Linked DNA regions of Nothobranchius furzeri. The protein of the gene in region 1 purifies or fractionates together with the protein of each later gene. This does not show direct contact. Links are inferred from orthologs where the notes say so. Each region holds a gene or a part of one and is shown in the gene's direction. Other genes may lie near its edges. The genes, in order: cullin-9, glmna and apex2.

Evidence for each region.
Region 2: the proteins of cullin-9 (region 1) and glmna purify together in Homo sapiens (affinity purification with mass spectrometry; 3 studies listed by BioGRID and IntAct, counting the BioPlex papers as one, with this or other methods). This does not show direct contact. The link is inferred for Nothobranchius furzeri from reciprocal best matches to the Homo sapiens genes CUL9 and GLMN.
Region 3: the proteins of cullin-9 (region 1) and apex2 purify together in Homo sapiens (affinity purification with mass spectrometry; 3 studies listed by BioGRID and IntAct, counting the BioPlex papers as one, with this or other methods). This does not show direct contact. The link is inferred for Nothobranchius furzeri from reciprocal best matches to the Homo sapiens genes CUL9 and APEX2.

The regions. Positions count from the first base shown.
Region 1 is NC_091752.1:62,763,699-62,767,345, forward strand, and holds part of cullin-9, read left to right. Parts: intron 1-961; coding exon 962-1,657; intron 1,658-3,647. UniProt on the Homo sapiens protein: Core component of a Cul9-RING ubiquitin-protein ligase complex composed of CUL9 and RBX1. The CUL9-RBX1 complex mediates ubiquitination and subsequent degradation of BIRC5 and is required to maintain microtubule dynamics and genome integrity.
Region 2 is NC_091751.1:71,619,544-71,623,803, reverse strand, and holds the start of glmna (glomulin, FKBP associated protein a), read left to right. Parts: upstream 1-1,337; 5' UTR 1,338-1,370; coding exon of another isoform or gene 1,371-1,428; 5' UTR 1,429-1,468; exon of another isoform or gene 1,469-1,503; intron 1,504-1,578; 5' UTR 1,579-1,698; coding exon 1,699-1,737; intron 1,738-3,292; coding exon 3,293-3,418; intron 3,419-3,494; coding exon 3,495-3,608; intron 3,609-4,030; coding exon 4,031-4,139; intron 4,140-4,222; coding exon 4,223-4,260. Other genes in the region: putative RNA polymerase II subunit B1 CTD phosphatase rpap2, read right to left, coding at 1,371-1,428.
Region 3 is NC_091755.1:42,303,832-42,308,048, reverse strand, and holds the start of apex2 (DNA-(apurinic or apyrimidinic site) endonuclease 2), read left to right. Parts: upstream 1-1,295; 5' UTR 1,296-1,391; coding exon 1,392-1,506; intron 1,507-1,593; coding exon 1,594-1,677; intron 1,678-1,979; coding exon 1,980-2,160; intron 2,161-2,314; coding exon 2,315-2,458; intron 2,459-2,756; coding exon 2,757-2,826; intron 2,827-4,217. UniProt on the Homo sapiens protein: Functions as a weak apurinic/apyrimidinic (AP) endodeoxyribonuclease in the DNA base excision repair (BER) pathway of DNA lesions induced by oxidative and alkylating agents.

The DNA.
Region 1 (3,647 bases):
ATTGATCATGCGCCCTGGCTAGTTGTACAGGGGAAATCTCTGTTTGGGTGACTGGTAAGTGCGCATGACTTTCGCCCGAGAGTCTGGGGATCGAATCCCGATTGGACCATTTTTTTATATCCGCCACAGATCTCTCTGAAGAATTCACAACATTGACGGCTTCAGCAACACTGTGCCACTTGGTGGATTTTCTCTTATTTGATTTGCAAAAGTACTTCCTTTCATTTCTCCACCTCACCCACAGGTACCTCAATTCCTGCTTCTGTGAAATAGCGCTTCCTTGATTTGCCTTGATCTACAGTCACCATGTCATTGGCGGAGTGCTGCAACAACCGGCTTATGTATATGCATGAGATCCACAAGGCACTTTGCATTGACTATTTATGGCAGTAAGTGGGCGTGGTGAGGGCGGGACGTGACTAAAATGCAGCTGAGAAACATTCTCGTTAGTCTCCGATTTATGAAGCGGAGATTGCACGCAGTTGTGCGTACTCCATGTTTGATAGATCACAATCCTACTTGGCGTAAGTACATTTTTTTTGCTGAGCTTAAGTACGGTTTTGGAAAAGATTCTACGCAATGTTTGATAAATGAGACCCCAGATCTCAATCAGCAGGTGATTAACAGGCTTCTGCAAAGCCTGATGAGCTGCTGCAGGTTATTCAACCACTCAGTCAAGCGTGTTGGAGCAGAGAAACCACTAAAACGTGCTGGCCCTCCAGGACCAAAGTTAAATACCCCTGGCCTAGGGAGGCAGCTTCCCTCCACAGGTCTGTTGAGTCCAAAATGAAAACTGAATGAATTAGAATCAGATGCTTTTCTGTTTTTTTTTTTGGTTGATTCATACTAGAGATACACTCGTAAGAAAATGTGGGCCGATATGTAACAATGATACTGGCAACTATACTTAGCTCAGTTATACATATACCCTGATGTCTGATGTCTGCTCTCGTCTCCATAGCAACCATGGTGGGCGAACGCCGCAACGGGAACCTGCTGGTCCAGCTCAGCCCCAGGCTACAGGCATATCCCGAGGAGCTGATCCGCCAGCGCCGCACCCACGACGGACAAACGGAGTACCTCATTCGCTGGTGCCTGGTTACCATTGAAGATGGGTCCGTCTCTGGGGGCGGAGCAAGCGAGTCGAGTGGAGCGGGCAGTGCCGGCTCAGGGGTGGGTGGATCCAGTGGCTCCACCTCTGGAGAAACCAAACCGGAGAACATCTTGATGTGGATGTCAATGGAGGATGTGTATGCTAATTGCCCCACCCTTCTTGGCAAGAGGAAAACAGACTCACAGCGCCCCCTCCAGCAGGAGAAGTTGCAGGAAGGCGAGGTGGCAGATGGGAGCCAGAGGAGCGGAGGCGAGTTTCCAACAGACGTGACCTTTGATGAGGTAGAGCTGTTGGACATGAAGCAGGATGTGATGAACCTGGTGTGTCGAGCCAGGAAACAGATGGCTAAGAAGAGTGACTTCTCCATCAACATCATGCACACCATCCACGTGCTGAGCGCTTATGCCAGTATCGGCTCACTTGTAGGTGTCTTCAAGGAGACTGGTGCCCTCAACCTGCTGATGGAGTTGCTGTGCAACAAGGAGACGCAGACGAGACGCAGCGCCGGCAAGATGCTGCGGGCGCTCGCCTCACATGATGCAGGTAAAAAATTAATTAGCACTGTTGCCTTCAGGGTCCCCTAGAAAACTCAAATCCTTAAACTCATGTTTAAAAAAAAACCTGTGTCACAGCTGAGTAGAAAAACCACACCACCCTGTTGTGTGGTTAGACCACCCTATGCCGTGGAACATCAGCTGTTTCTTTAACTACTCTTGTTGAGTCTTAGGGTTCTGTTCCCAGTTTTTCTAGTTCCTGCTTACGTAGCTGGGGTATGAGTAGGGCTGGACGATACGGAAAAAATCATATTGATAAAAAAAATCGTATCAGTCGATGTCAGTAATTATTGAAAATGCTATGAAAAATGTAGTAAAGTTTTAAGTGCAGCCCTGGCCATTTTTTGTCGTTACCTTTTGATAAAACAAGTTGGTTGCATTACCAGACTTGGTTTTTATTGATACTCTGTAAATGTTGCAAACCATTGTTTGGTTTTGTCAGACTTGTAAGAGTGAAAATATCGCCACACTGGTGAACTACTGTAACCTTTGTGGGATAATTTCTTCCAACTCTTTGCTGCAACATCTTGTTAAGGTCACATAGCTGTAGGGTTGGGCATCGTTTGATTTTAAACGATTCCGATTCCAATTCCTCGTTTCGATTCCAGTTCTTATGGATTCCCGATTCCGATTCTTTGAAGACATGATATGTTTTACATGAGCCACCTAACCACAGGTCCTACTTGATGAAATATTCTTAACTTCAACATGAATTTTAACTCTATGAACAACAACATCACCTTCATTTAGACAAAAACATGTTTTGGAGAAAAAAGAAAAAGGCTTGCAGCACAACCAGTGTGTTTGTTTCTGACCACAACCAAAGTCTGGAAGAAGCCTCTGGGATGAGAGGCTAAATGTCTCCAACATATCCAGAAACGTCCAGCTGTTTTCAGCTAACACTCTCAGGATGATCATGTCCAGGATGCCTGAGAACTACACCTCCATGCTGCAGCAGCATTCAGTCAGAACAGAAAGTGAAACTTAAATGTAGCTGCTGTCAGTAACAATCTAACAGATTTTAAACATTAAAACTCTCAACAGAAATAGTTCAGAAAGGAAATTAAAATGTTCACAGCTTTGTGTGTGATTTATTATTATTATTATTATTATAATTATTTATTGTGGCAGAAGCTGGTGTGGTCCACCACAGAGAAGCTGCTCTAGCATGATGACTTTAATTAGTCTGCAGGCTATTGTTCAGCCTTCTGACGCTCACGTGTCTGACTGCTGACGCTCCGTGTGTGTTTTTATTTCTGCAGTGAGACAAACTCACCTCACACCGTCCAGAGTTTGTTCTTTAAGCTTCTATTAAATCCACCGTGTTGACGTATTTCAGCAAGTTTCCTCTACACTGCAGGAGTAAAAGTTAACATTACGGAGTAAAAGTTCGGCAGACACATTTATATTTGGCTGCTGTGCACCGGGTGTGGGAGGGGGGACTCGGTGCTGCACACAGACAGCTGGTGTGATCAGCTCTGAAAAGCGTTGATCACAATTTGCAGATCACGTTTATTTTTCACGGAGATCGGCCGCGGATTCCTCTTTCGTCGGCACACTAGGAATCGAAATAAAAAACGTTGAGCGATTCTGGGAAAAATGAACATTTGGAACCGGTTCCAATCGATGCTCGATTCTCGATGACCAACCCTACATGGCTATCTGTTTAGGTTTGAAAGGGGGGGGGGGCTTGGTGACAGAGCATGCTTGGGTCTGTGTTTTGGTTGGTTGGGTGTAAGTAGGGCTGGGCAATAAATCAAAAATGTATCGTTATCAAAATTTCTGACTCTTATCGTGATGTCTTTAAAGCACTCAACGACCTGGCATCTCCCTATCGCTCTGACCTGCTCACTCCCTATGTACCCATGCGCACGTTGAAATCTGCTGACCTGCTGCTTTGCACTCCCTGGATGCATTACAAATCACAGGGTGAAGGAGTATTTGTACATGCTGCCCCATAGCTGTGGAACTCTACGCAT
Region 2 (4,260 bases), on another chromosome or scaffold:
GAAGGACCTGGACCTGGTGATGAACTACAGAAGGACCTGGTGATGAACTACAGAAGGACCGGGTGATGAACTACAGAAGGACCTGGTGATGAACTACAGAAGGACCAGGTGATGAACTACAAAAGGACCTGGTGATGAACTACAGAAGGACCTGGTGATGAACTACAGAAGGACCTGGACCTGGTGATGAACTACAGAAGGACCTGGTGATGAACTACAGAAGGACCTGGTGATGAACTACAGAAGGACCGGGTGATGAACTACAGAAGGACCTGGTGATGAACTACAGAAGGACCAGGTGATGAACTACAGAAGGACCAGGTGATGAACTACAGAAGGACCTGGTGATGAACTACAGAAGGACCTGGTGATGAACTACAGAAGGACCTGGACCTGGTGATGAACTACAGAAGGACCTGGACCTGGTGATGAACTACAGAAGAACTGGGTGAGGAACTACAGAAGGACCTGGTGATGAACTACAGAAGGACCGGGTGATGAACTACAGAAGGACCGGGTGATGAACTACAGAAGGACCTGGTGATGAACTACAGAAGGACCTGGTGATGAACTACAGAAGGACCTGGACCTGGTGATGAACTACAGAAGGACCTGGTGATGAACTACAGAAGGACCTGGTGATGAACTACAGAAGGACCTGGTGATGAACTACAGAAGGACCTGGTGATGAACTACAGAAGGACCTGGACCTGGTGATGAACTACAGAAGGACCTGGTGATGAACTACAGAAGGACCTGGTGATGAACTACAGAAGGACCGGGTGATGAACTACAGAAGGACCTGGTGATGAACTACAGAAGGACCAGGTGATGAACTACAGAAGGACCAGGTGATGAACTACAGAAGGACCTGGTGATGAACTACAGAAGGACCTGGTGATGAACTACTGAAGGACCTGGACCTGGTGATGAACTACAGAAGGACCTGGACCTGGTGATGAACTACAGAAGGACCTGGACGTGGTGATGAACTACAGAAGGACCTGGACCTGGTGATGAACTACAGAAGGACCTGGTGATGAACTACAGAAGGACCGGGTGATGAACTACAGAAGGACCGGGTGATGAACTACAGAAGGACCGGGTGATGAACTACAGAAGGACCTGGTGATGAACTATAGAAGGACCTGGTGATGAACTACAGAAGGAGCAGCTCTGATCCGCGACAGGTTTGTTTCGGTTCTTTTCTACAGAGAACGAGTCTGTTCCACCTTCCCGCTGAAAGCGGAACGGGAACAAGCTCCACTGCTGGGTCGAACCGGACCGGAAAATCAACACGGAACGGACGTAACGAGGGTGAAAACGTTGTCCTGTTTCCGGTAAACTCTGGATTGGGATTAAAAACCAACCTTTCCTGGAGGTTTTAGTGGAGCCTCCTCTCCTCCTCCTGCTCTCCACCAGCTCCATGTTTCTTCTGTGTTCACCTTTGACCTGTGACGTTTCTACGGTAGCTGAGGGGGTCAAACCGGAAGGCGCGCTGCATCGGAGATGTAAATGTGGTTTGTTTGGGTCATGAAGGAAAGGTTTGTGTGATGTTTTTATCTGCTGTGATTCCAGAAGCTTCCCGCTCTGTTCGCGTCTCCGACTGAAGCTCCGGCTCGCGGTGGCCTCGCGCGGACCTAGCTTGTTTCAAACGGAAGTGCCTCTCTGTTTCCGGCTGATCCGAGGACAGCAGCGATGGCTCTGGAGCAGCTCAGTGATGTGGTCCAGAGATGTGTGAGTCTCATGTTGTCCTGTCATCCCTCCTGCTGCACACCGGCGTCTCAAAGCCCCAGAGGCTGTTTCTGTCCCTCCACCCATCTGACTCGTGACTTAGTGGCGCGAGCTACGCAGGGCAGTGGAGTCTGGTGTGTCCACCTACCTGTCCACTGATGTTCAGATTGTCCCTCACCACCACCACGTGGCTTTAACAGCTCTAGGGAAGAAGCTGTTCCTCAGCCTGGTGGTTGTGGCCTTGATATTCCTGTACCGCTTCCTCGATGGTGGCGGCATCAACAGTTTGTGACCTGGATGGAAGGGATCAGCAGCGATACGGTTAGCCTTCCTTTGTAGTCGGATGGTATATACTCCAGAGTCCAGATCTGGTAGTGGGCCCCCCACGATCCACTGAGCAGTTTTCACCACCCTGGCCAGGTCTTTTTTGTTCTGGACGATGCAGCTGCCATACCACACCGTCATGCTGGGTGATAGGATGCTCTCAGTCATGGCTATGTGCAGCTTTAGTATCGCTGTGCTAAATGGCCCAGGGAGCCCCAGTGCAGCGTTCAGTGACACAAACCAAAATCTGAGATACAAGTTACCAAACAACAGCAACCAAGCGACGACACCCGAATCGGGCGAGATGAGGGAGATCTGTAGCGTTGCTGGTTCTACTCCAGTCTCCAGCGTGCTACCATCACTCAGGAACAAGACACAGGTGGTTTGAGCTCCTCCACCTCAGACAAAGACGGCCCTCCCTTTTTCTCTGCGTCACTCAGCGCCGAAGCGCTCAGGTGCATGCTGGAGGTCATGGACCAGAGCACCAGAAGGTTACCTTTGCTGAGGTTTTCAGATCCTGTGAGTTCTATGTTCTGGCCCACGTGTGTTTTGCTTTGTTCCGTCGGGTTAGGGTTGGCGCCTTGGCCCTCAGATCAAACCCTTCTTTAAGGAAGAACATTCCGAATCAAAAGGTCACCGGGCGGGCAGCATGACTTTACTTAGCAGTAGATGTAGCATGTTGCTAACATGTTTGTTGTTCATAGAAAGCAGTGAAGTCTGACATGGTGGGCAGAATGTGATCAGATACAGCCTTCTAACCGGGACTGCAGCAGCCCAGCAGGTTGTCCAGTAATCAGAAGGTTGCAGGTTCGATCCCGGCTCCGACCAGAGAATGCTGCTGTTGTGGCCTTGGGCAAGACACTTAGCCCGCCCTACCTGCTGCTGGTGGTCGGAGGGACCAGCGACGCCAGCGTTCATCTGGCCTCGTCTCTGTCAGAGCGCCCCAGAGCAGCTGTGGCTACATCGTAGCTCATCCCCACCAGCGTGTGAACGACTGATTGTGTTGTAAAGAGCCTTGGGGGGCTGTAGAACCCAAGAAGATGCCATACAAACACAAACCGTTTACCATTCTAACCGTTTTCTCTCACCTGCCGCCGCCTCTGGGCCAGGTCGTCGGCGTAAGTGAGAATGAGTTCTCCGTCGACTCATCTGGTTAAATAAATCCGACACTTGTCTTTCCTCTCCGAACCCCAGCAGCCCCTTATTCCCTCTTATCTGTGTGTGTTACACACAGCAGGCACTCCCGGGTGACGGCTACAGCTCGGAGGAGCACGACGTCTTCACCACGGCTGGACGGACCTGCATCGAGGAGGGCCATAGTCCACAGGTCCTCAGCATCGTGCTGGATGAGAAGAATCAGGTAGATTTCTGTGAGATGGTGCCAGTCCTTGGTTGGGTGTGCTGATGATGACCCGGCTTCATCACCCTCTGTGCAGAACCTGATCAGGAGTTTGGGCTGGAACCTGCTGCCTCCACTGATTCAGGTGCTGCTGAAGAAAGAAGACAAGAACCTTCCTCAGTGTCTGGCCATGTTCAACCACCTGATGGAGGTCTGTGGATCTGCTCGGCTGTGATGTTGCTGCGGGAAAAGGATGGGATGGCAAATTAGAGATGGCGGGGAGGACGAAGATGAGGAAAGCTGTGGTGAAGGTCGAGGATCAACGTGTAGAAAGTTAAAAAGGTCATTCATTCAACCAATCTGGAGGTGTGTAGAAGGGGGCGGGGCCAAACCAACAGCCCTTACGTGGGTAAGCAGCGGTGGGTGGGTTCAGCGTGATGATGTCATGATCCATGTTTGTGCTTCTCTGAGCCTTCTTCCCTGCTGATGGAGACGGTCTTCAGATGAACCAAACTCTGCTCAACACGGTGTTGAGAAGCAGCGTGTTGGTCAGAGCGGGGTGTTGTAGCTTCTCCGATGTCGCTCTGCTGCCACCCCCGTGGGCGTCATGACCTCTGACGTGTGTCCTCTTAGACCTGCCGGCCCAAAGAGCTTCTGATTGGTCTGCTGGAGCAGCTGGAACACGATGATCCTGACGACATAGCCAACCGTCTCCATCTCCTGCTCGGCCCGTTACAGAAAGGTTCTGATTGGTTTTGCCGACTCTGATAAAAGTTCTGTGACGCTCCTCTTCATCCAGCCGTTTGACCTCCTCTGTCCCATCAGTGCTGCTGTCCCTGGGCAGCCGAAAGGCCTCGTCCTTG
Region 3 (4,217 bases), on another chromosome or scaffold:
GCGCCTCGTGATTTCCATCTTGAGAGGCGACATATAAAAAAGTGTTTCTTTCCTTTTTTAGATTCTGTTTAATCATAGTGGCATTAAACTGGTCAAACTGGACTCAAAACTGGGATTAACTGTGACATAAAATTGCTTCAGCCTAAGCTCAGAACAGCCAACAGCTATCTTACAAACCAGTGTAACCCAGCTATCTACCCGGCAGTCGTGTGTGTGTCATATTACAGAGCTGACTCTGCTTTTGTTATCAGGTAAAACAAACGTTTTGGTTCCACGGTGACGCTTCGTACCTTTTAAAGATCATCAAGGACGAGTCCCCGGCTCTCAAAGCTGTCAAAAATCGAGACAGTGGTCAACCATCGGCTACACCAGGGTCTCCAGAACCAGCGCAGACCCGGAGGTCAGCAACACGACAGCTGGCTTGGCCAAAAGCACAGGGTGTAGTCAATTGTCCCCCATTTTGGTGTGGTGTCCTCTCATGTTCTGAATCTGTCCTGTGTGTGTGCCAGGAGACATGTGGCTAAACTAAGACATCCAGACAGTATCCCACCACCACGTTTAACATAATTAGATCAGCTAACAGACTCCAGCTCAGAGAGGGAAGAAGAGCTGCTGGAGAGATGAGAAGTCGTCTGACAGGGATGCTAAAGCCAAGACGACACCGGACACAGAAACGGGACACTATCGGACAGCTAGCATCAGTAGCGTAGCTTAACGTGGATGAAAGTAGTAAATAAAATCTAACATATCATCTCAAAACAAATAGAAATATCTAACAAATCGACTGCTGCTGGTACGTTATCGACCAAACAAACGCCACTCACGCGCCCATCTTTAGAATCCTATCAGACAAGCTAATTAGCTCAACAGTCAGCCATCACGAGCCCATACGCACTTACCCCGAGCCTTCTGACCTAAAATGAAGCTATTCGGCCGGCCGCCGCAAAGAGGAAACTCCTCACCGCCTCCAGGAGCTGCAAATGACAGCGGGCTCCTAAGCAGTTAGGACTGGTGCGAGGCCAGTTTGGCGTATAGTGGTAGCCGCTCCCCTTCCTCACACCCACCTGCTTCACTGAACTCGCGCAGGGTCGCGTGTCGCGCGCCGAAAACGTGAATGCCCAACTACCCCCTCTAGCTTAGCAGCGAGGCAACGCAGCTACACTAAAACACTGTTTATTATCTGTATTTCTGTAATAAAGCCTTAGATAATCGTACAAGCATACATTTATAAAGCGTTATGCTAGAAATGCTCTGAATTAGTTACTTAATAATTATGAGATTGCTACAAACAATCTTTTCCGGTTGTATGTTGCGTCACGTCCGGGGTACTTGAACGTTGCATTTGGCGTTTTTGTGCGGCTTTCAGGTGTACTTGGGTTTCAACCTGCATAATGAAGATCGTTACGTGGAACATAAACGGCATCAGGACGTTTAAAGGCGGCATAAAGAAGACTCTTGATTCTCTGGACGCCGATATCATCTGTGTTCAGGAGACAAAAGTAACGAGTAAGAGTTGGAAAACAGGAAAGCTGTCCCGATGTGCTCCTGCTGCTGTTTATTAAAACACACTGAACCTGTATATGTGTTTCTCAGGAGACCTACTGGATGAAAAAACCGCCATTGTTGAAGGATACAACTCCTTCTTCAGCTTTAGTCGAGGACGCAGCGGCTATTCAGGTTAGACAGCTTTTACCCGCCAAAATAAAAGCCCCAGAGTTATTGGTAATGAATATGTATGTGGCAGTGTGAGCGTCCTGTCACAGTGTCCCGATTGATCATGCGCCCTGGCTACTTAACCAAGGGGATGTCCCTTTGGCTGACTGGTTAGAGAGTATGACTCTCACCCGGGCCCTCGCCTCTCCACCCTGCCACATGCATCACCAATCAGATGCATTGATGGACATTAAAGCCTATCTTCGTTTCTTTATTGCCCTATAATCATTACTACTCCACCATGAGCCAGGTTTTGTTTTGCACAGGTGTTGCTACTTACTGTAAGGACATTGGCACTCCTTTGGCTGCTGAGGAGGGCCTCACTGGTCTGCTGACCAATCATGAAGGTGCTGTTGGTTGCTATGGAGACCACACTGACTTTTCAAATGAAGAGCTGCAACTTTTGGACAGTGAAGGACGAGCCCTCATAACACAGCACAAAATCCTGTAAGTGAATCAGGTCAGATTGAACCCCACTGCGTTTTAATCACCGTCTTCCAAAACCATGCAGAGATATGCTCTCAGTGTATGTAATGTTTTGCTGATGTTGCAGCCTTGTATCATTATTATTATTATTATTTGTTTCTGTTTTTCCCCGCAGCTGTCAGGACAAAGAACAGACGGTTACTGTAATAAACGTGTACTGTCCACGAGCCGACCCTGAGAAGCCAGACAGGAAGCAGTTCAAGCTCCAGTTCTACAAGCTGCTTCGGTGTCGGGCTGAAGCTTTGCTAAAAGACGGGAGGTGAGGGTTTTCATAAGGTTTTAGCATTTCTGTGACAATGTGTGTTCCAGTACACTCAGCTTTATGATTATTAAACACCGATATCTGATAGAGACAGATTTATTTAGCTATTTATCTTTAAAAGTCAAACTTTGGGGTCTTTTTAACAGTTTGGGTTGTATTGTAAGACGTTTAACTAGGAGGAATAAACGGTAAAAGGTGGCTATAATGTCTGACCTTTTCTAGTATCTTCATATTTTAGGTGCTTGCTGTCCTTTAACATGTCTGACATCATCGTTTTTTCTGTCCTTTTCTCCAGCCATGTGATCATTCTAGGCGACGTGAACACATCTCATCGGCCCATTGACCACTGTGACCCAGATGATGTTGTAAGTGTGTGTTACACCAGCTGCTCCCTTAAAATTCAGTTCAGTACTATTCAATTCAATTCAATTTTATTTATAAAGCGCCAAATCACGACAAGAGTCATCTCAAAGCACTTCACATAATAAACATTCCAATTCAGGTCAGTTCATTAAGCAATCAGTAAAAAGTTTCCTATATAAGGAACCCAGCAAATTGCATCAAGTCACTGACTAGTGTCAGTGACTCTACAGCAATCCTCCAGCAGTCTAAGCCTATAGCAGCATAACTACAGAGATAACTCTGGATAACCTAGCCTTTTAGATGGAGGGATGTTGGAGGCAGGACAAGGGAGAGCCGTCTTTACCGACTGTACACTCCACCTCCCTCTACTCCCCCACTTGTCCTGATTTAGGCTAACATCAGATTTTAACCATAGGCCCTATCAAATAAAAATGTTTTAAGCCTATTCTTAAAAGTAGACAAAGTGTCTGCCTCACGGACTAAAGCTGGGAGCTGGTTCCACAGGAGAGGAGCCTGATAGCTAAAAGATCTGCCTCCCATCCTAATTTTAGATATTCTGGGAACCACCAGTAAACCTGCAGTCTGAGAGCGAGGTGCTCGGTTAGGAACGTATGGAACAATCAGATCACTGATGTATGATGGAGCTTGATTATTAAGAGCTTTATATGTGAGAAGAAGGATCTTAAAATCTATTCTGAATTTAACAGGTAGCCAATGTAGGGAAGCTAAGACAGGAGAGATATGATCTCTCTTTTTAATTCTCTTAAGTAATCCAGTCTTGATGTAATAAATGCATGAACTAGTTTTTCAGCATCACTCCTGGAAAGTATGCTTCTAATATTAGCAATATTCTGAAGGTGGAAAAAGGAAATCCTACAAACCTGATTAACCTGGGATTTGAATGGCATGTCCTGGTCCAAGATAACACCAAGGTTGCTTACTTTGTTCTCAGAGATTAATGTAATGCCATTCAGGTCAGGTGATTGGCTAAGCAATACTACATCCCAATTTAGCATGTGCTTTATAAAATGGTGACTGCAAACAGAACTGAGTGCTTTTTACGCCTGTTTGTTTCCAGAGTCTGACACTCTCTGAGAAACAATGGCTGAAAAATGTACATGTTGGCTCCATTTAGAAAAATGTTTTAATGCAGTGAAAATAAATCTGTAATAGTTTGTTGCTGCAAGTGTGCAACAAACTCATGAATACCAAACATCTTTTAACCTTGAGGAAACTAAAAAGACAACATAGTGAAAGGTAGCATAAACTCCTGCAGTGATGCACAAGTAAAACAACACGTCGCCAGTATAAACCCCTAGAATTAGCTTGTTTTTCTTTTAAAAGGTGAACTCGAAAGTAGGAAAGCGTGTCCTCTAAGCTTAGCTGTGACTCT